4 linked regions of the Caenorhabditis elegans genome follow. The protein of the gene in region 3 purifies or fractionates together with the protein of the main gene of each other region. This does not show direct contact. Each region holds a gene or a part of one and is shown on either strand. Other genes may lie near its edges.

Region 1 (5,059 bases), on a different chromosome or scaffold from region 3:
AAATTCGGGAGAAACGAAATTTTAATACTACAGTACTCTTTAAAGACGCACATCTCTTTGCATTTAGCAGAAATTTGTCGTGTCGAGACCGGATACAGTAACTTTGAAGCAATGCTAGCAAGACTTCGCAAAATTCCAGAAAATATTGTTTAAGTCAATAATTTACTCACGTGATGTGACATTGGCAAGAGAAGAAGCTATAAACCGTGTGGATGACATCTGTAAAACTTTTTCGTTCTGATTGAATGAAAAAGCGGAAGCAAAGAAGTCAATAAAACAAGGTTCTGATTTGAATGATCTCTGTGACTCGTTTCTTTTACTGTCTGCGTCTATGTATTCAACGAATTCAGTGCAATTCAACAGCAAAGATTACAATGATGACTATTATTTTTTTGAGAAAACCTTCTTCGTGAGACGTCATCAGATTCATAAAGGTCTCGGAAATAGCTTGATGAGTAAACATTTGATCTCAAGTTCAAAGAACTATTAATTTTGAAACCGGAGATGATTCATTGACAAGGAAAGCAACAAAAAAAACTACCAGTAAAGTGTAATTCAAGGAAGAGGTAATAGGCAAGATCTACAGGAAAAGAATGGAAAATTAGTAAAAGTGATTTCTAGATATGAACTAAAAATGTACAAAAAAGAGGGAAAAATATTGATTGTACAAACAAAAAAAGAGATAACAAATTGAACGGGTTGGGTTGACCTTCGAGTCATTAGAAGCTTGATTCTGATAAGGTTGTTGAGTCGATTTTTGCAGGAGATTCTGAAATTTAAAAGTAAAGCTTTTTAATAAGTTTATATTGTTTTACACAAAAATCAATAAAGGACGAAGCGGTGAACATTTTAGTTTTCTAGTTTTTTAGATGTTAATTTATGATTTTTAAATTTGAATTTTTCGCAGAATTTATGTTATGGGCAACTGGAATCCATCTGAATTTCCTGCTCAAAACATTACCGTTAACTTTCTCCTCATCCTCATCTTCACTCGATTCTCCGAGTAAGCTCAGATCGTCTTCTAGCGACGATTCCACCGGAGCTGAGTCTTCTTCCATCTTCATCGACTCCTCTCTCTCGTTGTCGCTCTTTTTCTCGTTCCCATTTTCGCTTCCACTCACGACGTCTTCTCGCTCCGATGTTGGATAACTTATCATTTCGGGTCTGAAATAATATTCGTTATTTCACACAATTTAACAGGAAAAACACCGCAATCATACTTTTTATTTCTTGCCTGTTCTAATCTTTTCATCTCTTTTGCTGTTATAAGCAGTTGGGGAGCTGGCTGCTGTGGAGGTTCTCCATCCAGCCAACCCGCGATTTTTCCAATACTGGAACTACAGAAGTTGAGCCCTGAAAAATATTAGTTTTTGTTATTTAACTATTAAATTAAAATTTCTTACAAATCGGTTCATAACTAAAGAATGGAGTTCGAATAGCTCCAAGCATTAGAACAAGGAAGATTGTCATCACGATTTGAGCTATCAATGGAGCACCGTCATATAGATTTCTGGAAAAATTAATTTACAGCTTTTTTTATGAATTCGTCAAAAAATACCTGAAGAATAAATTAAAGTGCTTCGCAGAACCAGAAAAAAACGCAAAGAATCCTCCGGAAATAGTCTCAGAAAACACTTCGATGATAGAAATCTCGTGGAAAATCGATATGGTTTGACTCTGAAATTTACAACATTTAAAATAATTTAACCCAACAAAGAAGAAATAAAACAAAAACTAACCTCAATGTACTTTAAACATTTTGATTTTTGCCGATATTGGAAAGGCGATGCGAGGATTTCAACCATTCTTGAGAGTAATCCTTCTGTAGCACAAGAATCATGAGCATGCTCTTGGAATTGTGCAAATCTTCGTGATTCTGCTTCTTGATATTTTTTGCTATAACCAGAATACATGGAAACAAGAAGAGCAGTTGAGAGAACGAGAATCCAAAAGTTTCGTGGCCGAACGATTGATCGAAGAACAACAAAAGCAGCCGCGGGCAAAATGAAGATGTTCAGTGTGAAAATGAAAGGTTGGAGAGTCACAAATGTATCCTGCCAAGTACGATCTGGAGCTGGAGGCTTCACGCTGAAAATGTTTGACAACGCGGATCGGACGGCTTCTCTCTCTTCAGCCAAATCTGCTTCATCATTTTTTAAATACTTCGAAAGAACCGACATGCTGTGCCGAGATATTTTAATTCTGCAATTCAAAGCTTAAAATATATCGGAACTAGAAGAAAATATACTCACTGTACATCTTTTTTAATTGAACCTTCCAAATGATAGTCAATTTTGGTTTCGTGGAGAAGTTGTCGAAGAATCAGACGAAGACTTTGATCAGGCTGAAACTATTGAATGGGTTATTTACGGATTTCTTTAAAGCTTTTAGTTTACCTTCTGAACTTGATTTCGAACAGATAGAAGTCGTTTTGACGCTGGCGGGCTTTCTCCAGAAGTTGGATCATTCGGATCTTTCCACACATTTTCATGTGTAAATTCTTCGTCAATGTCTTGAGTTGCGAAAAGTTGCGGGACGAGGAGTAGAAGTGTGACCCATATTATTTTCATCTGAAACAAGCGGAAAGTTGAAAGAGAAAAGATGTTTACAGCACGCTCAGCAACTGACAGGCGAGTTCATAAGATAACATAGTTGTTTGATCAATAAAATGTTGTGTTTTTCCGAGTTTTCAGATAATTCGCATTTAAACTTCACTTTTTATATTCAGAAAATTGTAAAATCGAAACATTTCAAGAATTGCGAAACAAGTTTTCAGAAGGCAAATTAATAAGTATAATACGGTTGACAATTGGTGTATGCAGAATTGTCGTGAATTTCGATGCCTGCGTACGCGAGAAATTTGCATTCATTATTTTCTTTTCCACAGTTTTCCACACTTTTCTCATCGATTTTTGCAATAATTTCATCAAATTTTCTTGTTTTTCAGTAAACTTCAAGATGAAGCTTTGGGATTCTCCGAATACCTCGTTCCCTTATTCATTTGATGAGGTTGCCAGTGCGTTTTGGGACAGGTGAGGCAGGAAATCTCGGAAAATGGTAATTTCAATTTCTAAACCCTCAGATACCCAAATTCTCATGCAAAACACATCATTTCGGAGGATGTACTCGAACGCCAGATCACTGACAACACTATTGTCACTAAAAAATTGATTGTCAAGCAAGGTATTTAGCTGATATTACAAGAGCCAGTAAATTATTCGCATAATTTTTCAGGAAGCTCGATTTTGAAACGTGTTCCTCGTTGGATTTCGAGAATGACAGATATTCAAGTTGTTCCTGTCATTGAAGAAAGTGTTTATGATAAAGTATCGAAAAAACTCGTAACATACACTCGAAATGTTTCACACATTTCTCTATTTCAACTCCATGAACGATGCATTTACAAATCATCCGAGGTTTATCATTGTTATTTCAAATCTCTATTTACTGTTATTTTTCAGGATAATCAGCAGCATCACCCAGCCCTTCTCACTGACGTACTGCGAAGTGTCACAGTTTCAATCGATTGTGGTCGAATGAGCTCAGTTTACGAGAAAGTCCTACTAATGGGCTTCAAAAAATCGATCAATAACACAACGAAAGGGTTGTTTGAGAAGCTAGAAGAGCGATTTGGAGTCAAAAACGTTGCTAATGAGAAAATGAAAATGATCAAGGAAAAGATTATCAAGTCATCGTCAAATCTCGTCACTCATGTCCAATGCGAAGAGGATGTCTAGTCAGCCATACTGAATATAAATCTCAAACATTCACTTTTTCCCGTTATTTTCATTTATGTCCCCCCAAAAAAATCTCAATTCTCATAGAATTACTGAATCTTCTGCACATTCTTTGCATTGAACTGAGACCATTATTTGTTTGTTATTTGGCTCTCAATCTCTCCTGATAAATGTACATATTCAATTTATTTTTTGAATTTTTTTTGGCTATTTTCTGGTTATTTACCAGCTATTGTTATCTTTCTTGACCTTTTTTGTCTGAATTACATTATAATCTATCATAATCTCCAATATTTAGGCTCTTCTCAATAAGGCTTTTCAAAACTCCTTCAAAAAGCTTCTTGGTCTTCGATCAACGATATGGCGAGTACTATTTACCGGTGAGTGACCTCCCAAAAGTTTCTGGAACACGGCAGTTGTTCCACTTGAATCAGCAAAAAATAACCATCAATCACAAGAAAAAGAGACATAGATATCAAAAGAAAATCCCCTGTTGCAGCCTGATCACAATCGTCTCGCTTCTCTCATTGCTCCATTGTGCCTATTCCGCCGCCCAACACCGTTTCTACCTGCGTCTCACTGAGCAACCGTTCATCAATCTCCCATCCGACGTCGTCGCTCAGACAGTTATCTCCTTGATTGCACTGATCTACGGAACTTCCTTCCTGGCCAATCCATTCCTTTTCATAAAGAAGGATCAAGTGAGTTGGAGGAGAGATTCATGAAAATTGTTTAAACCAAAAACGAGGAAAACCCGATTTTCGTAATGAGAATATCTGAAAATTTTCAAAAAAAATTATGGCTGTGCAAAGTATTTGAAAAATAACTATTTTCAGCTAAAATCTCAAATTTTGCCAGTTTAGAAGTGTTAAAAAATTCCGTCAGTGGCGGCACTGACAATTTGGCAAAATTTGAGATTTTAGCTATAATATGCGCCTTTTTCCAATACTTTGAACCGCCATGATTTTTTTTGAGAAATTTTCAAAGGTCCTCATCACGAAAATTGGCAGTTTTTTGGTTAGTTTGGGTCTAAAAAAGCAATTTTTTCTCTTTTTCCAATTTCGCTACTACGCCTTTAAAAAACTTAAAACAAAAATTAGTTCGGAGCTTTAAAATCAATTTTCCTGTTTTTTGGCATTTTCAATTTACTTCAATTTCCCAATTTCCAGCACCACGACCGATCATGCGACGAAGCACTCAATTGTCCATCATTCATCACATTCGACAACCGTGCCAAAGCAATGTCCCCAGAATTTGCGATGCTCCGAACCTTGAAACAACAGCAACGTCAACGACAAAACTCTTCTCGTGGAACTCACAGT
Region 2 (8,899 bases), on a different chromosome or scaffold from region 3:
AGTTACCTGAAACATGTTGATAATTTCAGATAAACATTATTTGTACATACCATCAGTATCTAAAAAACGATAAGGAATGTTTCGAGACCACGTTGTTCCGTTCAAATTCATTTTTCGTTTCACACGAAAGCCGTTTTGAGCTACTTTATTCATTTGTGAAACCGTTAAAGCCTGAAAAAAAATTATTCAGCATTTTTTAAACCTTCTAAACTAACCATATCACTTTCAAACATAACTGCAGCAATTTTGCTATTTGCAGCCATTTCATTGTTGTAAATCCCACTGGACGGGATTACAGTGTTTATATCCTGCATAGGAAATTTTATAAAAATATTTCAAAAAATGACTCACATATTGAGATCCTGATTTTCGATTAAAATAAGAACTCATAATCTGGATAACTTTATCATAACTTTCTCCGGGGCGCTGGAACGCAGCTGTATTCTGGTTCACACTATTGACAACCTGAATTCTAACGTATTTGCATATTTTTTCTATTAAACTAACCTTGTCTATATCCTGACTAAACATAACTTGCGGCTGATCTTGTTGTGGTTCCGGCTCAGGCGGAGGAGGCGGTGGCGGGAGACCCTTAAACCTTTGATGAAAATTTGTAGTTTTAGGCTGGTTACCCATGGAGGTCTTCTATGCCATGGAGGTCTTCGCCAAGGTGGCGGTGGTCGATCCCATGGAGGTGGGGGTCCGAATGGCGGAGGACCTCGGTTTCTAAAACTTTGTTTTAATATGAAAACCTTGGCATTCTACACGTGCGAAAACGTGCTTTTACAAAGTTCTATTTATATATTCTTGGATTAGCATGCTGATTTTTTCAAATTCAGTTATGTTTGCAATTCTTCTGGAATCAAAGTGAAATCTCACCGATGCCAAGGTGGAGGCGGTCCCCAAGGCCGAAGAGGTCCTGGAAAAAACCAATCTGTAAACCGGAACGTATTTCATTATTTTTATACTTCCGTTTTTATCAAATTCCAGGCAAAATTTTTCAATTTTCAGATAAAAAAATAAGTAAGTGTCAGCTGATGGCGATAATTTTTCAAGGAATTCTTACCTGGAGGAGGAGGCCGTTCAAAAAAATCAGGTTGCGTCAGACAAGTAACAAACTGTGATATCAGTATGCTTACAAATAACATTTTGCTCTCGGCGGCAAGTATATGCCAAGTTTAATCAAAATGAAAGACCAAGTAAAAAAATTTACAGCATGAACTAGTTCAGGGTTTAATCGGTAATAACAACACAAATTTGGTACGCGGGAAGACCTGTAAGGTGTTTGCATCGTTTTGTCTCATTCGGCCAATCAAATATAAAGGTCGTAGAAGTTTTAATTGGGGGAATCTTTGAGAGTGAAAAGAAGATGAAATTACGCGTGGCCTCAAAAAGTTTTTTTTTGATGGCAAGATGATTGGTGAACACAAACATTTGACTATCAGTGGATGTTACTTTGAAATATTATAAAAACTCAGCAAATGGCAATTTTCAAGATCATACCATGCAGAAGATCAAGACAGAAATCTGGGGATGAATCAGACAAAGTCGCCGAATTGATCCAAATTATGTTTCGCTGAACTTCAACTATTTTTTCTTGTGTTCTTAATCAGGGTTCCCAGAAAAATGATGGTCTAGACTCACGTACTAAGTTTATAGCATTCAAGTTTTGCATGTGTATTGTAGAAATAGACTTCTAACGTTTTAATGATAGACTACAAAAAAGGGTGGAAAATCTGGATATGGGTACTGTGTTAATAATCAACGTATTATTATTACTGTAGCTTTTGTCAATTCTACACTTTGCCTATCTACACATTGTATCTACACATCTACACATTGCAATTGCTTGCAAACGCCTTTTCATAAAACTGAAACGCAATTTTTTGTTAAAATTAAAAAAATTCTTAGGAAATATAGCAAATTCCTTGAAAGGTAAACACGTATTACTTGAAAATATTTCATTAATTGACACCAAACATTACATATGGATTATTGTCGTCAGTGGAAATTTTGTCCGAAAATTTTTATTGCAATCCAGATCATCATAAAACAGTCTAAATTTTCAAAGTTTTTTTTGAAAAAAAAATCATTAAACGTATGTTATCAAGTTTATACATAGTTTAGGCTCCTTGATAAATTAAGAGTAGTGTCGCTGTACAATGTTCCAGTACAAGTGTATAAGATTTAATTAGAATATTATTTTTTTAAATTTCTATTATTTTTCAAATCGACTACCAATTTTATGTGAGCAAAGCTGATTAATCACAACTTTTTGGCTGCAAATGAAAATACTTCAAAATTTATTTATTTAACATTATAGAAGTGGTTCCATACATTTTAACTACATTCGCTACTCACCATTTATGGTGCCTTGTTTTAAAAACACTCATTAACCCGTTTTCATATGTATTTTCAGCGTCTCGTTATGTTTACTGTGTGTTATAATTAACAATTCAATTTTTTGAATGGTGTTGTAAGATTTTAAAGATTTTGAACAAGAAAACAGAATAACCTTCCCCTAAATCATTTTTCATCATAAATCACGCCGACATGATATTCAGTCGGCTCATATCACCATTTTACACCCTTTTCAACTTTGTGCCTTTCTTGTCATGCTTTTCTCTTTACCCTCCACTCAATTTTTCTTTTTCTCTTCAGAAACAGTACATCTTAATAGGTGATAACATTGAATTACAGACAACCCGCATCAAAACTTGGTCTCCAACAGTGACACGTACTCTCATTCCTTTGCTCGCCTTCTGCGCTATCCGATTAGTGGAGCATGTAATGTACGAAAACGCTTACAAGAGGTGGTGGAAAAAGAAAGTGGAAATGATAAAATTTATGAGTGAAATATTTAAGCGAGTAGGAGAAGCACTATTAAGAACAGTGCGGTTCAACTTGATAAAGAGACGCAGCAAGAAATTGGTGAGGACACAGTCATCGAGCCAACGCACCTATTGCCCACCTCCATACTCCTCCTTCTTCTTCATTTCTTGCCTCAAATACCGCGACAGGCTCATTCCTCGTCAGTATCGCCACTATGGGCTACTCGGAGAGTCGCTCGGAGAGCGTTAGCTCGAAAGGTAACTGATTCATCATATAAAAGTTCAATAAAGCATAATACATTTATTAAGACGGTTAAGCCTGAATATTATACCACCCATGTAGTTTAATTTTTAAGATATTGTAACATTACACAGTATTTGAATGTTTTAATAGTTTGTTCAATTGTATTTCTCTCGAAATATGATTCGCATGTGGTCAATCATCCAGTCGCAGATTTTAAAGATCCACTTTCCAGTTAAGGCTGGGGTACCCCTCACGTTTTATACTCGTGACCCCTAGTTGCTAGCGACTACCATTAACAACTGGGCTCCTGTTGAAAACTGTAATCCAATAATTTTGTATTACTTATGAGTAACAAGAACCCTCAACTAATAAATCTAATATTAATGCAGATTTTGCAACACACTGTACGGAACAAAATAACTTACCTCCAGCATACCGAAACATCATTTCCAGATTGTTTTATTGTTTTGTAAAATACAATTCTTCTTAACAGCCGCTAAAACTAGTGATAATGGCATTTATCTAAAATTAGATGGATTATAACTAATCTTGCCGCGTGGGAAATTTTATCTATCAAAAAAAAAGGCGACAAGAGTAAATTTCAGAGTTTTTGATCGAAAATCGACAGAACGAGTTTTTCAGGCAAAACATCATACGGCCATGAACTCGAAACAGTACCACTACCGGAAAAGAAAATCTACACAACATGGCCTGATATGATCAGGCATTGGCCTAAAACAACACTGTGCATCGTGTCCAACGAATTCTGCGAACGATTCTCATACTATGGAATGAGAAGTGAGTTGCTTTATTTGTTAGGGTAAAAGTGTAAAGGATATAATAGATCCTTTAAACAGCCTTAAACATTTCTGATGTATCAATAATCTACAAAAAATATTTTTATTTGTACATATATTTTTAGTTTAGTTTAAGAGGTAAGGTGAAGAAAAAGTAGAGTTAAACCTTATTTTGATTTTCGGCCGGTGGGTGGACATTTTCAGATAAGGGTATTATCAACATTTACTTTAAGTACATGGTACTCAAAAAGTGAATTTCCTATCTACATGCCAGTATATTTAAAAATCGAAAGTTTTGACACATGAAATGCAAATAAGACATTTTTTCACCGATATCACTAAAAGGTCATAATCCGGTTATTACCATAATGATTATGACGTTGGCAGTACAGAAGATCAATTGAAACGTGACACGAAAAATTTGCAGCGGTCTTGACATTCTACCTGCTTAACGTACTAAAGTTCACCGACTCACAATCTACGATCTTCTTCAATGGATTTACTGTGCTTTGCTATACCACACCACTTCTCGGATCAATTGTTGCGGACGGATACATTGGAAAATTCTGGTATGTAATAATTGTTGTTTTGCACTCAATAACGACTTTTCAGGACAATCTTCTCTGTCTCAATTCTATACGCAATCGGACAAGTCGTGCTCGCTCTCGCTTCTACTAAGAATTTTCAATCTTCAGTTCACCCGTAAGTGATGCTTGTTCCAGTATTCGACGCATAAACTTATCATGCAACTTTTCCGTCTTTACGAATTCCTCTCGATTGAAACAAGGCATGATGATAAGAACTTCAACCGTGGCAACTTTTGCCCGACAGTGCACGCGCCACATTAAACATTAAAAAACTGAAACCGAACAAAATTAAAAAGGGTTCACAAGAAATAAACTGCTGAATTTTCAGATGGATGGATCTGTCTGGATTACTGATCATTGCGTTCGGTACCGGAGGAATCAAGCCATGTGTGTCTGCATTCGGAGGAGATCAATTCGAGTTAGGACAAGAAAGAATGCTCTCACTCTTCTTTTCCATGTTCTACTTTTCCATCAACGCAGGATCTATGATCTCTACTTTCATCTCTCCCATCTTCAGATGTAAACTTGACAATTCTTAAAACACTATTAGAGTACAATAATTTCAGCTCAACCATGCCTTGGACAAGATTCCTGCTACCCAATGGCTTTTGGTATTCCGGCTATTCTTATGATTGTTGCAACACGTGAGATAAAATATTCAAAAATCACATTGACTATTAAACTCTTACAGTGGTATTTATGGGAGGTTCATTTTGGTACAAGAAGAACCCACCAAAGGACAACGTGTTCGGAGAAGTATCTCGTCTTATGTTTGTAAGTTTTTGTTTTGTTTTATTTCTAAACTGCTTTGAAACCAAGATTAAATATTCAGAGAGCTGTTGGAAACAAAATGAAGTCAGGATCCACACCAAAGGAACACTGGCTCCTTCACTACCTTACTACTCACGACTGTGCTCTTGATGCAAAATGCCTCGAACTCCAAGCTGAGAAAAGAAACAAGAATCTGTGCCAAAAGAAAAAATTCATCGATGATGTCCGTTCCCTACTCCGTGTTCTTGTCATGTTCTTGCCAGTACCAATGTTCTGGGCACTTTACGATCAGCAAGGATCTGTCTGGCTCATTCAAGGTTTGTAAAGTTCTAGATAACAATTTAAAAATGATCAAATTGGGGAGTCAGCTGCAGAATTCCTTGTGGTGCACCCACTGGGTTTTAGCTTAAGCTACAATCAAGCCGGGGGGCTAAGTCAGCCGTTGATTAATCTAATTCCCAGCGTTGGCTTAGTGAACCTAGGAGTGCAATTTTGTGATTGCTAGCGACCACCACTACCGACTGAGACATCCCCGCTCTTCACATGTTAAAAATGTGTTTTTTCAGCTATTCAAATGGATTGTCGTCTTTCTGACACCCTTCTCCTTCTTCCGGATCAAATGCAGACATTGAACGCCGTGCTTATTCTTCTCTTTATCCCACTCTTTCAGGTCATCATCTACCCAGTCGCTGCCAAGTGTGTCCGACTTACGTGAGTTTTCATTGAAATAAAATTATTTGTGTATAATGAATTATTATATTTTAGACCTTTGAGAAAAATGGTCACTGGAGGGCTTCTCGCGTCACTTGCCTTTTTGATCACTGGATTTGTTCAACTTCAAGTCAATGTAATTTCAAATAAAATTGTTCCATAATTTATTAATTCTTTACAGACTACTCTTCCAACTCTCCCGGAAGAAGGAGAAGCATCAATTAGTTTCTGGAACCAGTTTGAAACTGATTGCACCATTACCGTTATGTCTGGAATTCACAAGAGAGTTCTTCCCCATGACAAGGTTTGAGATTCGAATTTGATTCTTTTCACTTTTAACTTTCTCCTCCTAAGTTCTAAACGAAAGATCATGCCATTTTAAGTGCTGATAAGAAAAAAGGAAGTCAGAAAAAGTTATCGTAAAATTATTTAATTTATTGCCTTTGTCATGAATTACTATACGTATTTACACAACAACGTTTCAGTATCTTCACGAAGATAAAAAGAACAAGTCTGGAATTTATAATCTTTTTACAACAAAATCCCCCGCAAAAGGTAATGGCGATTGGACTCTCACATATGACCTCAGCTATGACGGCGCTTGCGGAGATACATCAAAATTGGAGAAAACTGTTAAAGTGACTGCCAAGAGCAAGAAGATCATCTACGTTGGAGTCGGATCATTTGGATATTACCAAAACACAGCTAACACTGATAAGCCAACTGATGGAACTGGAGAATTCTCTATGGGGTAGGGGTGTTCATAACACGGAACAATGGTTAAATAATATATAAATTCCAGAATTGTCACTGTATTCAATTCTTCATACGGAGGAAACTTTGCCATGTGCCGTCAAAATACAAGCGACTTTGATGTTAACCATCCATGTAATCCAAGACATCCTGCTGACTTTTACTTCTGGGAAACCGATTATAATAGTCATACCGATGACAGAGATCAAAACGCTACAATTACTGGATCTCTTAGTTCCCAACCGGCTGTAACTTACAAGCAGAAATCTGTAAAGCCAGGATATTGGCAGTTGTACTACCTTTTGAATACACCAAAAGATGTAGACCGGCAGACTTACAACAAAACAGCAACACTCGTTGCTCCAACAAATTACGGTTTTCACAGAGTTAAGCAGGGAGGTGTGTTCATCTATGCATTGACCGGAACATACGAAAATCCAAAGATCCACGAGCTTCAAATTGTACAGTCCAATAGTGTGTCGATTCTTTGGCAGATTCCACAAATCGTTGTCATCACGGCAGCAGAAATTTTGTTCTCAATTACCGGATACGAATTTGCATATTCTCAGGTAATGTTAATAGTTAAAATTTATAATTTATAATGCTATTCTAACTGTAAATATTACAGTCTGCCCCATCAATGAAAGCTCTGGTACAAGCCCTCTGGCTCTTGACCACTGCTGCTGGAGATTCCATCATTGTAGTCATCACAATCCTTAACTTATTTGAAAATATGGCCGTCGAATTCTTTGTCTATGCTGCTGCGATGTTTGTAGTTATTGCCATCTTTGCTCTTCTCTCCATTTTCTATTATACTTACAATTATTATACAACTGATGAAGAGGACGGTGAAATTGGAGTTGATGATGAGGAAGAAATTGAGGATCACAATCCACGATATTCAATTGATAACAAAGGTTTCCATCCGGACGAAAAAGATACTTTCGATATGCATTTTTAATTAAATCCTAATATGTATAAATTTTCAATTTTGTTTTCCTAAACCTACTACTGTTGCTTTCCCTTATTGTGACATCGTGATAAAATTCGTTTTCACTTGAAAAAATAAATATTTCTAAAAACTTTGTTCATGTCCACTCTCACAACAACAGCCGAACTGCATCTTGATTCTGTCGTTTTGCGACCAAACACATTTCTTATTCCATTGCAAAAGTCTCTGAACTCAAAAATAGGAGCCAAATTTGAAAGTTGGCATGCGACGACCGGATGAGTATATCCGGTCTAAAGCTTTGTAAGCTAGTGGAGGACGGACAATAGCTTGTTGCCGGGGGCTCTCTCATTATCTGCTTTTTTTTGGATTTGCTCACGACACACTGGGCGACTAAATATGACGGATGAATTAACATCACCTTCTCTCAAATCTGGAAATGTTCTGGCTCTACTTAACACACTTTACACTTCCGGATTTGCAATGGCGTCCTCCAGCACTCCATTGCTCAAAGGTTTGACTCTTGGGCAAATAATTTTTTGTCATTTTAATTTTTTCACTTATAGGCAGAGTAGCAAGTTTTATTATCACGGTAATAGTCTTCAAACATTTTAATTAATCAATTAAATTTGATGAATTAAAACATTTCAGGGCGTTTTAAAATTTCGAAAAATTATGGCCGAGTTTAGCTAAATTTCACAATTCCTTGTATAAAAAAAATGCCTACTGAATAACCTGCAGATGCAAAAACGTGTCACCTGCTACATAAATGACGGTTCGACAAAATTTAAACTTTTCGCTTCTTACATCTTTCATTTTTTAAACAGTCTGAAAGTTTTTCATAAAGTTTTAGTATGAATTAGTCTATTCAGGCTATACAAAGTGTTTTGCTATTCCATCTTTAAGCTAATACAAAATAAACTAGAAAAGTCATTGTTCCAAGCAATAATACTATACAATGGATTTTATTCTTGATGACATATAATTATCACCTAAAACTTATTATCTATTTCTTTCAGGAAAAACTTTGCACACCCTATATGCTGTTTCGTTTGTCGTCTACGTCACCAACTCTATTTGCTCTTGGCTTCACATCAGTTTCGTGGTTAAGGTGATAATGATAATAAAGATCAATGTAAAAACCGAAATTTTAACTTCAGGGATACGTGACTTCTTTTCCACTGAATACATGGCTAGTGGTTTCTTTGGTTGTTACCGCAGTATGTGGATCAATGTGCACATGGTTGCTACTAGTA
Region 3 (6,000 bases):
ATTTCAGCTCGGCCGTTTGAGTTGTCTCGTGAAATTGCAAAACATGCAATATTCCTATTCGGATACTCGGTTTCAAGTAATTTCTAAGTTTTTCCTTAAATGATCCCTAAAATTTATTTCTACCAAATTTGCAGTCCGCGATGAGTCGTCAGAATCCGAGTCGGATTTCGACGACGATATGATAGAAGAAGACGAGGAGGATATGAGCGAAGAGCGCAACGATCAGGTATATGTAAGTAGTTTAGAAAGAACGCATTTTCTTATTTTGTTAATTGATTTAGAAATTGTTTTAGGACAAACGAACCATTTCCTCGGGCTCATCGAAGCAGAATGAGGAGTATATTCATCCAAGGAAGTATCATCATCATCACAGGAGATAGATTTAAATCGATTTTTTAGTGGAAGAATCATCAAATTTTGGGGTTTTTTTCGGACGGGTTTTTTTTTGATTTTTGGATTTATTATTTCCATTTTTCCGATTTTTTTTTGAGTTTTTGAGTATTAAAATAGCTCACCTCAATATTCCGGGAGTACTAAATTCTGAGAATGCGTATTACACAACATATTTGACGCGCAAAATATCTCGTAGCGAAAACTTTGGTGTCGATTTACGGCAGGGAGTGGGCGGCAAACGACTTTTTCCGGCAAATCGGCAAATTGCCGGAATTGAAAATTTCTGGCAAATCGGCAATTTGGCATTTTGCCGGAATTAAAATTTGCCGGCAAATCGGCAATTTGGCATTTTGCTGGAATTAAAATTTTCCGGCAAATTGCCAATTATGTGTATTATTTTTGTACTCTTTTCTAATGACACGATTCATATGGAATCGTATTGAAATAAATAAATAAATCGGCAAATTGCCGGAGTTTAAAACTTCTGGCAAATCGACGAATTGGCAAGTTGCCGGATTTGAAAATTTCTGACGAAACGGCAAATTGCCGGAATTGGAAATTTCCGGCAAATCGACAAATTGCCGGAATTGAAAATTTCTGCCAAAACGGCAAACTGCCGGAATAGGAAAATTCCGGCAAATCGACAAATTGGCAAGTTGCCGGAATTGAAAATTTCTGGCGAAACGGCAAATTGCTGGAATTCGAAATTTCCGGCAAATCGGCAAACTGGCGGAATTGGAATTTTCCGGCAAAACGGCAAATTGCCGGAATTGAAAATTTCCGGCAATTTGTCGATTTGCCGAATTTGCAGAGAAAAAAAAGTTCGAATTATGACAGTGTTTTCTTTTAATATTTTGTCGATTAAAAAATGATTTCCGTAAATCGACACCAGCGCTACAGTATTAATTAAAAAAATTACTGTAGTTTTCGCTACGAGATATTTTTCGCGTCAGATATGTTGCGCAGTACGCATTCTCAGAATTTTGGGTTCCCACAAGCTTTTCTTCATTTTTAATTCACATTTTCTTCTCTCTCTCTCTCTCTTGCATTCAAAACTTTGATCTTAATATTTTTAAAATTTACTCACTTTCTACTGTTTTTATTTTCATAACAACACAATAAAATTCAATGTTTCATTAAAAATTGTAATTATTATCAAGGTCTGAAAGAATCTTTAAAAAATATTTGAACTGCTTGAAAAATGTCTCCTGCTAATTTTGGTGCAAACCTGTGAGATGTCGGCTGCTACTTGTCATTAGTAACTCTACAGTTTTTTACATCGTTTTCAAAAAATTCAATATAAATTATTTATCACTGTTCAATTCAAACTAAGATGGTTTTTTGATTTGAGCAAACTTCCATGTAAAAATAAACACGTGTTCGAGAAACCAAATCGACAAAATTGTGAATATAAGTTTGGACTTATTGAACGCAAAATACTCGCAAGCTTCTCCAAACCACGATTTTTTATCATCAAGAAGATGAACACTTTGAATTTCTGGATCTCGAATTTTGACTCGTCTCACTGGTTTTTCCATTCTCCTTTTCACCCGGAAACTTTCCAGAACTTGAATGGAAAAACTCGGATCTTCTTGGAGAATTAACTGAAACTTTTTCCAAGAGTGGCGGGTTATCCAATTTTTATCATATTCATCTGTTCTCGAGAAATCGTCAAGTAAGACGAGAAGGCGATACATTCGAAAGCGGCATGCGAGAAGGAGGAATTCAGTGAAGTAGAATCCTGGAAAATCAATTGGAAAATTTACAATTTAATGTATTATTAGAAACAGGAATGGGTGGCAAAGGCAACTGCAAGTTCGGCAATTTTTTAGTCGGCAAATTCGGCAAATCGGCAAATTGCCGGTTTGTCGATTTGCCGGAAATTTCCAACTCCGGCAAATTGTCGATTTGCCGGCAATGCGAGTTCCGTCAATTTGCCGATATGCCCTTTGCCTGATATCTATTTGCCGGAAATTTTTAGAGGGATTTTTTATAAGACGGCAACACTTTTAGATATTTTCATAGAATTTGCTTACTTTCCAAAATAGATGTAGGAACATTCATAGGATGCGTACAATTTTGCCGATTTAAATTGAAATTCTGAAATTTCCAAAAAAAAACTGTGCAAAACCACAATTTGCCGAAAGTATTCGGCACTTGCCGTTTTTCCGGCAAATCGGCAATTTGCCGGAAAATTTCCATTCAGGCATTTTGCCAATTTGTCAATTTGCTGGTGATCTCTATTCCGGCAATTTGCCAATTTGCCGGAGAGCTCAATTCAGGCAATTGTCAATTTCAGCAATTTGCCGTTTTTCCGATTTGCCGGAGTTTTCTATTCCGGCAATTTGCCGGAGATCCCAATTACGACTATTTGCCGAATTTGCCTGAGATCTAAATTTGCTGATTTGCCAAAGATCTCAATTCCGACAAAAATCGTTTGCCTCGGCGGAGCTGGTAAATGCATTTAAAAAAAAAATCATATTAGGCAGCAAACGATTTTTTTTTTAATAAAAATTTCCGGCAAATCGGCAAACCGGCAATTTGCTTCAAACTCTAATTTTTTTCATACTCTAATATTTCAACAATTTTTGAAGATCAAACTGAGAGGTGATACACAAAATACACGCCTACAAGAATGCTTAAAAATTTTTTTTTTGTTTTTAAATCTATATATTCTTCCACCAAAATTTCTCAACCTTATGCACTTTGTTCTTATTCAATTTTTGCACACATCTTGCTAACAACTATCTGCAAACGCCTCCAATCTAAAAAATACCTAATCCCTTTTTATTATTTAAGAGTTAAGCTTAATCTTGTTAGTCCAATTGTAACTTACGTGATATCCGCTTATGCGGAGGGTTCAGAACCCGTAACATCTCGAGAAACACCTCTGGATCCACATCGAGCAAGGTGATCTCAATGCCGGAGGAGCTGTCGCGGAGCTTGTTGAACACTTCCGAGTTTGAGACAATTGTCTGGAAGAGGTTTTACAGCTAGTGTCAGTAGATGAGTTGTTACCTCCATACAGAGAAATATCTTCTGATTGGCAACGTTCACAATTAAACCATCCTCGTTTTCAGATTCTTTATCGGCTGGACCAATGTACTCTTCACCGTATAACTTCGTTACCTTGAATGTGACCTCTATTGAAGTCCAGTCTAGATACTCAATATCATAAGTATCCTCGCATTTTTCTTCAAATGGAAATGGCTCTGATCTCTCGTAATAGCTAAAATGCTCATCCTTGAACCATATTTTTACGGATGACTGGTATTCGATTTCTGGGGTTTCTTTGAAAAAGGCGGCAATGTGGAATTTTCGATCCTTGATGAAGAAGAACCTGGAAATTTTATGGAGTAGGATTTATTTTTTATTTTTTTATTTTTATTTTATATGAAAAGGGTTTAAAGTATAATACTCACCACAAATAATTAGCAACATAGGCATGTTGTGGATTTGTATCCGGTGTCATGACGAGGCTCTTCTCACTCGTAGCATCTTCCCCAACACGATACACATCACTCATCTATAGTGAATGAGCTTAAAAGAAATGAGGTTAGGAACAACGCACGGATTATATATTGCAGGTTGCTATTAGCGACAAATAACCCGAAGAGGAGATGCGAGAACGATGGGCGGTTGATTATTGTCAAGGGACAATGGGAGAGAGGAAATGTATATTATTTGTTTTTGAGAAGAATAGATATTAGAAGTTTGGTTTTGGTGATTTCTAAGCGAGCACTATACATTTGGGATTTTCCACTATATAGATTAAAATCAAACGATCAGAATTCTTGGATACATAGAAAGGGTGGGCTGCAATTGACGATTTGCCGGACATTTTTAATTCCGGCAAATTGTCGATATGCCGATTTGTCGGAAACTTTCAATTACGGCAAATTGCCGGTTGCCGAATTTGCCGGAAAATTTCACTTCCGGCAATTTTGTCAATTTACCGATTTACCGGAAACTTTCAATTCCGGCAAATTGCCAATTTCCAGGAAATTTTCATTTTGGGAAATTTGCCGGTTTGCCAATTTGCCGATATTTTCATAGATTTCACTGATTTTTCAAGATAGATGTATAGGTACAATTTTGTAGTTTAAAATTAAAATTCCGAAATTTCCAGAAAAATGGGCAAACCCACAAAAGAAACGGCAATTTGGTATGGAAAACTTTAATTTTAAAGGATTAAAGGATTAAAGGACGATCCGTTCTTCAAGTGCTATGCACTGCGGATCTGGGATTCAGGTACACTGCCTGGTGGTGATCCCTCTGGGCTGTAATTTTTTGCAATTTTTAAATTTCGAATTTGGAATTACATTTTTTGAGAAACAGTGAGCCAACGTTAGGAAAAAACTGGGAAATATATGATTTGACGGCAAAAAATAACAAAACGTTTTGCTGTTGAAAATAAAAGTTTGTTTTGCTTTACATTTTTTGCTTTTCACCATTTTTCTAACTCCCCAGAAATAGGGCTTCCATGTAGGTGCCTACCTGCCTGCCTGCCTGCCTGCCGGAACATAAGTATTACTAGTATGTATGCTTGTATTTGGAGCATTTTGTGCTCCAGCAAAACTGAAGGACAAAGTTGGAGAACATGCGCTGACGTGGACAATAGTGGAAGCTAGTCAAACACCGTGAGTTTTGTAGCGGCCGACACCTGATGGGACACCTCTTGGGTAAAAGACCGCTGCTTCCTTCTTTTCCTCCTAAGATAGCGGCCGACATTTACGGGGTAATGAGTAGGGCCTGTGTACAAGATCCTTGATTATACACGACCCGGCAAGTGGTACATCCATTCAAATGCGCTCTACTGATAATTTGAGTGTAGACTAGGTTTGGGCGCGTGATAACAAAAAAAAAGCATTGGTCCCAAAATTTTAGAATTTATTTTCGGCCATTTTTTATATGCATCACAAAAAACTGGATTAACCGTTTTTGAGATAGACGCGCCCAAACGTTCAGGTATACGGTAGACAAACTAAAAGAAGGCAAAAACGCGTACGGCTTGCCGGGCCGTGTTATACTTTAGTTTTCATTTTTTATAATTTTCAGGCATATCCGGACTCGTCGATACTATGGAGGTTGGGGATTCGCCCGACCATGGGGTTTCGGAGGGTATGGCATACCGACTACCGGATACCCATTCTGGGGATGAAAAGTTGTATCCAAGTTGTAATTTTATGTGGTTGTAGGGTTAGAAATAAAGTTTTTGACGCATTATGTTATTGTAAATAAAAAACATGAAAAAATCTGAAATTCGGAAACTAGCTGTTCAAAAGCATGTGGTGTCAATAGGGCTTCCATAGTAGGCAGGCTCGATTTCAGGGCCTGACGCCTGACTATAAATTAAAAAACAAACAAAAGTTCAAGTTTGTTTTAGCATGAGGCGCAGTTCGAGAGGCAGGCGAAGGTCGCCTTAAAGTCAATCAGGCAGGCGTTTTAAAGTCTTCATGGAACCGGCTAGGTGTCAATGTGAAATGTTTTTGAAACTACACAGCTCTTGGGTCCTCATTTTCCTCTTCATTTTTTTTAAAGCAATGGTCTTTCATTTTTCTCCAGTTATTTTTTCAATTTCAGACACTTAACCTTTTAAAAACAAAC
Region 4 (4,813 bases), on a different chromosome or scaffold from region 3:
TACATAGGGACAGAAGGACACGCGCTTTATATATAGTAAATGATGTTTTTAGAAACTTGCTGCTGGAGGATCAGTTCGTCTTGATCCAATTATCTTTTCGGTCACTAAAATCCAAACGGATACAACTCCATGGGCAAATTTGATGAAAGAAATCCATTCAAGAATGACTGCAACATGGCACATAAGATGGCCTGACGGCAGAGAAATAGTCAGAAAAGTATCTCCACCGAGAGTTGAATTCAAGATCGAAAACCGTGCTGGAAACAAAAAAGTTACTCTTTTAAATGGATTAGCGATGTTTGGAATTGACATTCGAACGATTTGCCATCAAATTCAGGTAGTTGGTGGCTAATCCTTAAATACTAATTTCTGAATTTTCAGACTGGTGTGGCTACTAGTGTTACAAGTCAATGGGAAGTTCCTGGCGTCGAAGGTCCTCAAGTACTCGTTCAAGGAAATCAAATTCATTTTATCGCTGATCTTCTGATAAAATCGTATGGAATCGACAAGAAATTTATGAAAGGAACCGAGTTGGCGGTGAAAAAGAAGAAATAAGAAAATTTGGAGAAATTTGCAAATTCAAATAGTATTAAATCTGTTCAATGTATTCCCTCACACCTTAATTTTTTTGTTTTGAAATTCGGTCTTTCTTTATTTATTAAATACCCGTGTGTTTCTAAGTATGGGTTGTATTCGTATTTTCGGTTCCATAAAGATTCATGAAGAACTTTCTCTTATCGTTTTGAACATATCCGCTTGGTGAATTATCAGTGCCAATTTAAATATTACACATACGCGAACATTTTCGATTTTCGGGCAGAAAAAAAAGGTATTAGGTCTCGCCACGCTTTTTTTGTGAGATAAAAACGAGGGTGTGCCTTTAAAGAGTACTGTAAGTGTCGAGACCTGGTGCCGCATTTTGGACCCAAGATTTCGCGTCTGGGGGATAAATTGTTCTAAATTTTTAAGATGTTAATCCATTTTCAGATTAAATCAAAATGCCTTCAAAATACATGCAATTGGCGAAGGAAATCATCAAAAATTATGGAACCAAGGGTCAATTCGGATGTGTTTCCGGAGCAGGAAATGTGAGAGCAGTTCATGCGGAGGAAGGAAATCTACGAGTGGAATTTGAAGTTGAGAAAGATCAGTCAAACCATTTTAACACTCTTCACGGTGGATGTACATCTACGCTCATTGATATTTTCACTACTGGGGCTCTTCTTCTCACAAAACCAGCTAGGCCAGGAGTATCTGTTGATTTGCATGTTACGTACGTAAAGAGAGAAGAAAATTGTCGAATTTGATAGATTTTTAGATACCTGACCGCCGCTAAAATTGGTGAGACCCTTGTGCTCGACTCCACCGTCATCAAACAAGGAAAAACTCTTGCATTCACAAAGGTAAACTTTAAGAAAAGTTTTAAAAATATTATTTTTTTCCAGGCAGAACTCTACCGTAAAAGTGATAATGTAATGATTGCAACTGGAGTACATACCAAAGCATTCCCAACTGTGAAGAAAGCAAACTAATCAATATATTCCAAGACATGGAAATTTGCGATCCGTGCGCCAAAAATACGGTATCCGGTCTCGACACAAAATGTTTTGGTTAAATGAAAAAAGGTGTGCTTCTTTGATGAGTACTGTAATTTTAGACTCTCGTTGTTGTTGAAATTTCATTGATTTTTCAACAATTTCCCATCAATTTTCGATAAAAAAAACATTTATTAATTTATTTTAAAACTCCCATACATCAATTAAAACTTTTTTTTTTCAGAAAATCGCGAAAAAAAATCAAGAGTTGGAATTTCCAGTAAACTTTAATGGCGCACACACCTTTTCCCGTTATAAAAAAAGTTTTCGTGTCGAGACCGGCTACCGTGATTTCTGCCCAAAAATCGCAAAATTTCGTGTCTGGAATACCTCCTAAACATAATTCCTAGACACAATTTCTAATTTGATCGTTTTGAAAAACATTTCCCTTGTGTACAAAACTATTATTCCGCAATAAAATTGTAAAGAATTCTTGTTTTTTTTCCAATTTTCCATAAATACTCGTTTTAATCCGAGTACTCTGTACATGTTTTGATGGTAAGAGAATCCACGCAAGTCTACGTGGTTATGAGATTTTTGTTTTGAAACAAATATTTTTAAATCATATATTTTTTCTAAGATTGCTTGAAAATGGCATCAAAATACATGCAAATTGCGAAGGAAGTGATCAAAATGTTCGGGACAAAAGGACAATTCGGTTATGCGGCTGGAGCACGGAATGTGAGAGCAGTTCATGCGGAGGAAGGAAATCTACGAGTGGAATTCGAAGTTGAAAAGGATCAGACAAATCAATTCGAGACACTTCATGGTGGATGTACAGCAGCACTTATCGATTGTTTCACAACTGGTGCTCTTCTACTCACAAAGGAAGCGAGGCCTGGTGTTTCAGTGGATTTGCATATTACGTGAGTATCTATATCTAAATAGAGGTTTCCTAGATTATGCAATGATTTGAAACATATAAGTCTTGCGAACAAGTGCAATATTTAAGCCAAAATTCAGTGTGGGGTCCCACCACGACCGAAATGTTCTCAGCTACGGTACCAACGAACTTTTTCTAATGTTTTCTAATTTTTCCATTCCAACCTTTAATTTAAAACTACAGATTTATTGCAAAACCAACAAAAAAGAGAAATCTACCGTACTCACGAGTACGGTAACTGAAAAGTTTCGCTCATTCTAGTACCCCCATACCTATATTTTAGCTTTATAATCGTTCATTTTCGTAAACTAATAATGCCAGAAATTCAGGAGAAAATATTTATGATCATCGTAACTTCCAGATACTTGACAGCTGCAAACATCGGAGAAACTCTTGTACTCAACTCTACTGTCATCAAACAGGGGCGCTCTCTTGGATTCACTAAGGTATCATATTTTTTTATTCTTGAATATTTCTGATTACAAAAGTGTTTTATTTCAGGCAGAACTCTATCGTAAAAGGGACAATGCAATGATTGCTACTGGAGTCCACACCAAGGCGTTCCCAAAGTGATCGCTCACCATAAAATAAATAATGTTATATGCAAATTAAACTAGAATTATTTTACCATGTATTCCATTTCATTTCAGAAAATAAATATCTTTATCAATATATGTGTTTGTTTGCCATTAAAAAACACAAATATCGGAAGTGAGAGATCATTTGTTGTAAGGATAATGTGTTTTAAAGGCTCCGTATCACACGCCAACGCTCTGAGTTGATGCTCAGTGAAATACCAAAAGTGACGAAGAAGCTCAAAATTCATATTTTTTGGATGCAAATCATAGAAAGAAGTCTTATAAAAAATTCCATTAAAAAATTCCGAACATATCTTGCTGCGGTTATGTTGGAGGCAAGAAAAAAAAAAGAAATCATAATCGCCTTCGATCACTTTTTTTATACACATTGTTTATCATGAAAACTTATTCCAAAACAAGATACCAAAATTCACCACAAATATTCTAAAATTTTCAATTGCCTTATAACCAATGATGGCTGTTTCGAGAAGTTTGTACTTTTGAAGAATCCAATTTCAAGTTCCTCTTTTCCTTCGTCTAGATCCCGAGACACTTTCCACGTCGTTGGTGTTTTCTGGCAACTCTCATTTTTCAGTAAAATCAATAATTCGGGAATTGGAAAACTAATGACAATGTTGTACATTTCAATCCAAGAAATGGAGCCCAATTTCCAATTCTGAAATTCGAATAAATGGAGTGATTAATCAAATTCCACAGAAACATACTTTTAGGAAGGTAGATATATCTGAACTTCTGAGACGATTTTGCCCAATTTCCAACCAATCTCCTCTGAACTTTCTGAAGTGATCTCCCGAAAGTGGGTGGTAGAAGTTTCTAGATTCCTGATTTCCAATCGTTAATCGAGTTAACTTCAAAATAAAATTGGTAAAACTATTGAAATTTCCTTTCAATACAAACCTTCTCAACATGAAGTTCATTGAAAAAATCCTCAGGAACTCTGAATCTCCAGTCAACAATTAGTTCTGCACACACCAAACTTGCCATGCAATTTTCCAATTTTGTGACGTCACACTCAACTTTTGAGCTTCCCAATTTCAAACAATCAATTCTAGTGAAATTTGTTTTTTGAATAACTTTTTGAAGAAATTCAATAGGTTCATCTTCACTTCCATTCTGGAGAAGTAACATTGAATATTTGATTTCTTGAAACTTTAATTATACTCACCATCTCTAGCCAAAGTAAATCCACTTTAGCACCACGAAGATATTTATCCATGTCATCATGATTGATAGTGTTGATTTCATTCGAGTTTGCTAATGTGAAACTTATCTTTTCCTAAATTTGAAGTCAAAACATCAATCAACATGACAATGTACTTACAGGAGTAACAAACATCTGACGAATCGGGATGGGCAACATGTACCTTTGGTACAACTGAATAAAATGTTGTACTCTTTTAGAGACAGTCTTCATACTTTGAATTGTTCGAAACTCAGTCTGGAATGAAATTTAATGTATTTATTTTGAAAAGTCTAGATTCTAGATTCTAGAATGAAATTATTAAAAATTTGTATATCATAAAACATTATTTTAACTAAAATGTAAATGTTAATGTCGATAGGTTTATGTAAACAAAACTATTTTTTAAAGATGGTGCATCGTAAGACGGAAACTTGTATATTTTATAAAACAATATAACTCATTATAATCGAAATGCCCAAATATGATAATTAACGACTTTGAAATTTTTTAGATTTACTCGAATGATTAGACAACGTTTTTGTAATTATCCAAA

What was found.
Region 1: the proteins of C18D11.7 (region 3) and prel-1 fractionate together in Caenorhabditis elegans (co-fractionation; one large-scale study listed by BioGRID). This does not show direct contact.
Region 2: the proteins of C18D11.7 (region 3) and pept-1 fractionate together in Caenorhabditis elegans (co-fractionation; one large-scale study listed by BioGRID). This does not show direct contact.
Region 4: the proteins of C18D11.7 (region 3) and C25H3.14 fractionate together in Caenorhabditis elegans (co-fractionation; one large-scale study listed by BioGRID). This does not show direct contact.

The regions. Positions count from the first base shown.
Region 1 is NC_003280.10:11,492,745-11,497,803, forward strand, and holds prel-1 (PRELI/MSF1 domain-containing protein), read left to right. Parts: upstream 1-2,947; 5' UTR 2,948-2,958; coding exon 2,959-3,032; intron 3,033-3,082; coding exon 3,083-3,183; intron 3,184-3,234; coding exon 3,235-3,416; intron 3,417-3,461; coding exon 3,462-3,737; 3' UTR 3,738-3,919; downstream 3,920-5,059. Other genes in the region: hacl-1 (2-hydroxyacyl-CoA lyase), read right to left, coding at 171-219; ooc-3 (Chloride channel CLIC-like protein 1), read right to left, coding at 720-769, 962-1,164, 1,221-1,353, 1,404-1,510, 1,559-1,677, 1,740-2,202, 2,253-2,350, 2,397-2,570; emc-5 (Membrane magnesium transporter), read left to right, coding at 4,098-4,117, 4,237-4,438, 4,907-5,059; nuaf-6 (Phytoene synthase), read left to right, coding at 4,921-5,059.
Region 2 is NC_003284.9:6,453,987-6,462,885, forward strand, and holds pept-1 (Peptide transporter family 1), read left to right. Parts: upstream 1-2,885; 5' UTR 2,886-3,046; coding exon 3,047-3,089; intron 3,090-3,717; coding exon 3,718-3,873; intron 3,874-4,299; coding exon 4,300-4,441; intron 4,442-4,484; coding exon 4,485-4,574; intron 4,575-4,787; coding exon 4,788-4,978; intron 4,979-5,025; coding exon 5,026-5,103; intron 5,104-5,150; coding exon 5,151-5,233; intron 5,234-5,291; coding exon 5,292-5,547; intron 5,548-5,796; coding exon 5,797-5,941; intron 5,942-5,995; coding exon 5,996-6,077; intron 6,078-6,122; coding exon 6,123-6,245; intron 6,246-6,426; coding exon 6,427-6,692; intron 6,693-6,743; coding exon 6,744-7,263; intron 7,264-7,322; coding exon 7,323-7,655; 3' UTR 7,656-7,781; downstream 7,782-8,899. Other genes in the region: Zinc metalloproteinase nas-33, read right to left, coding at 1-6, 51-171, 216-308, 352-465, 508-591, 633-726, 880-934, 1,067-1,148; K04E7.1 (Serpentine Receptor, class BC (Class B-like)), read left to right, coding at 8,043-8,157, 8,663-8,754, 8,804-8,896. UniProt on the Caenorhabditis elegans protein: Low-affinity peptide transporter that is necessary for proton-dependent uptake of di- or tripeptides, and to a minor extent tetrapeptides, in the intestine. Transport is independent of sodium and chloride ions.
Region 3 is NC_003281.10:11,802,861-11,808,860, forward strand, and holds C18D11.7 (BTB domain-containing protein), read right to left. Parts: upstream 3,936-6,000; 5' UTR 3,920-3,935; coding exon 3,816-3,919; intron 3,734-3,815; coding exon 3,412-3,733; intron 3,369-3,411; coding exon 3,230-3,368; intron 2,135-3,229; coding exon 1,722-2,134; 3' UTR 1,693-1,721; downstream 1-1,692. Other genes in the region: twk-39 (Potassium channel domain-containing protein), read left to right, coding at 8-76, 135-232, 294-380; C18D11.10 (uncharacterized protein), read left to right, coding at 4,936-5,033, 5,452-5,554.
Region 4 is NC_003280.10:5,693,208-5,698,020, forward strand, and holds C25H3.14 (Acyl-coenzyme A thioesterase 13), read left to right. Parts: upstream 1-2,175; 5' UTR 2,176-2,186; coding exon 2,187-2,461; intron 2,462-2,839; coding exon 2,840-2,924; intron 2,925-2,979; coding exon 2,980-3,051; 3' UTR 3,052-3,151; downstream 3,152-4,813. Other genes in the region: eif-2D (SUI1 domain-containing protein), read left to right, coding at 53-337, 382-555; C25H3.3 (Acyl-coenzyme A thioesterase 13), read left to right, coding at 999-1,273, 1,319-1,403, 1,446-1,532; C25H3.10 (F-box domain-containing protein), read right to left, coding at 3,487-3,732, 3,782-3,925, 3,975-4,190, 4,243-4,353, 4,399-4,515.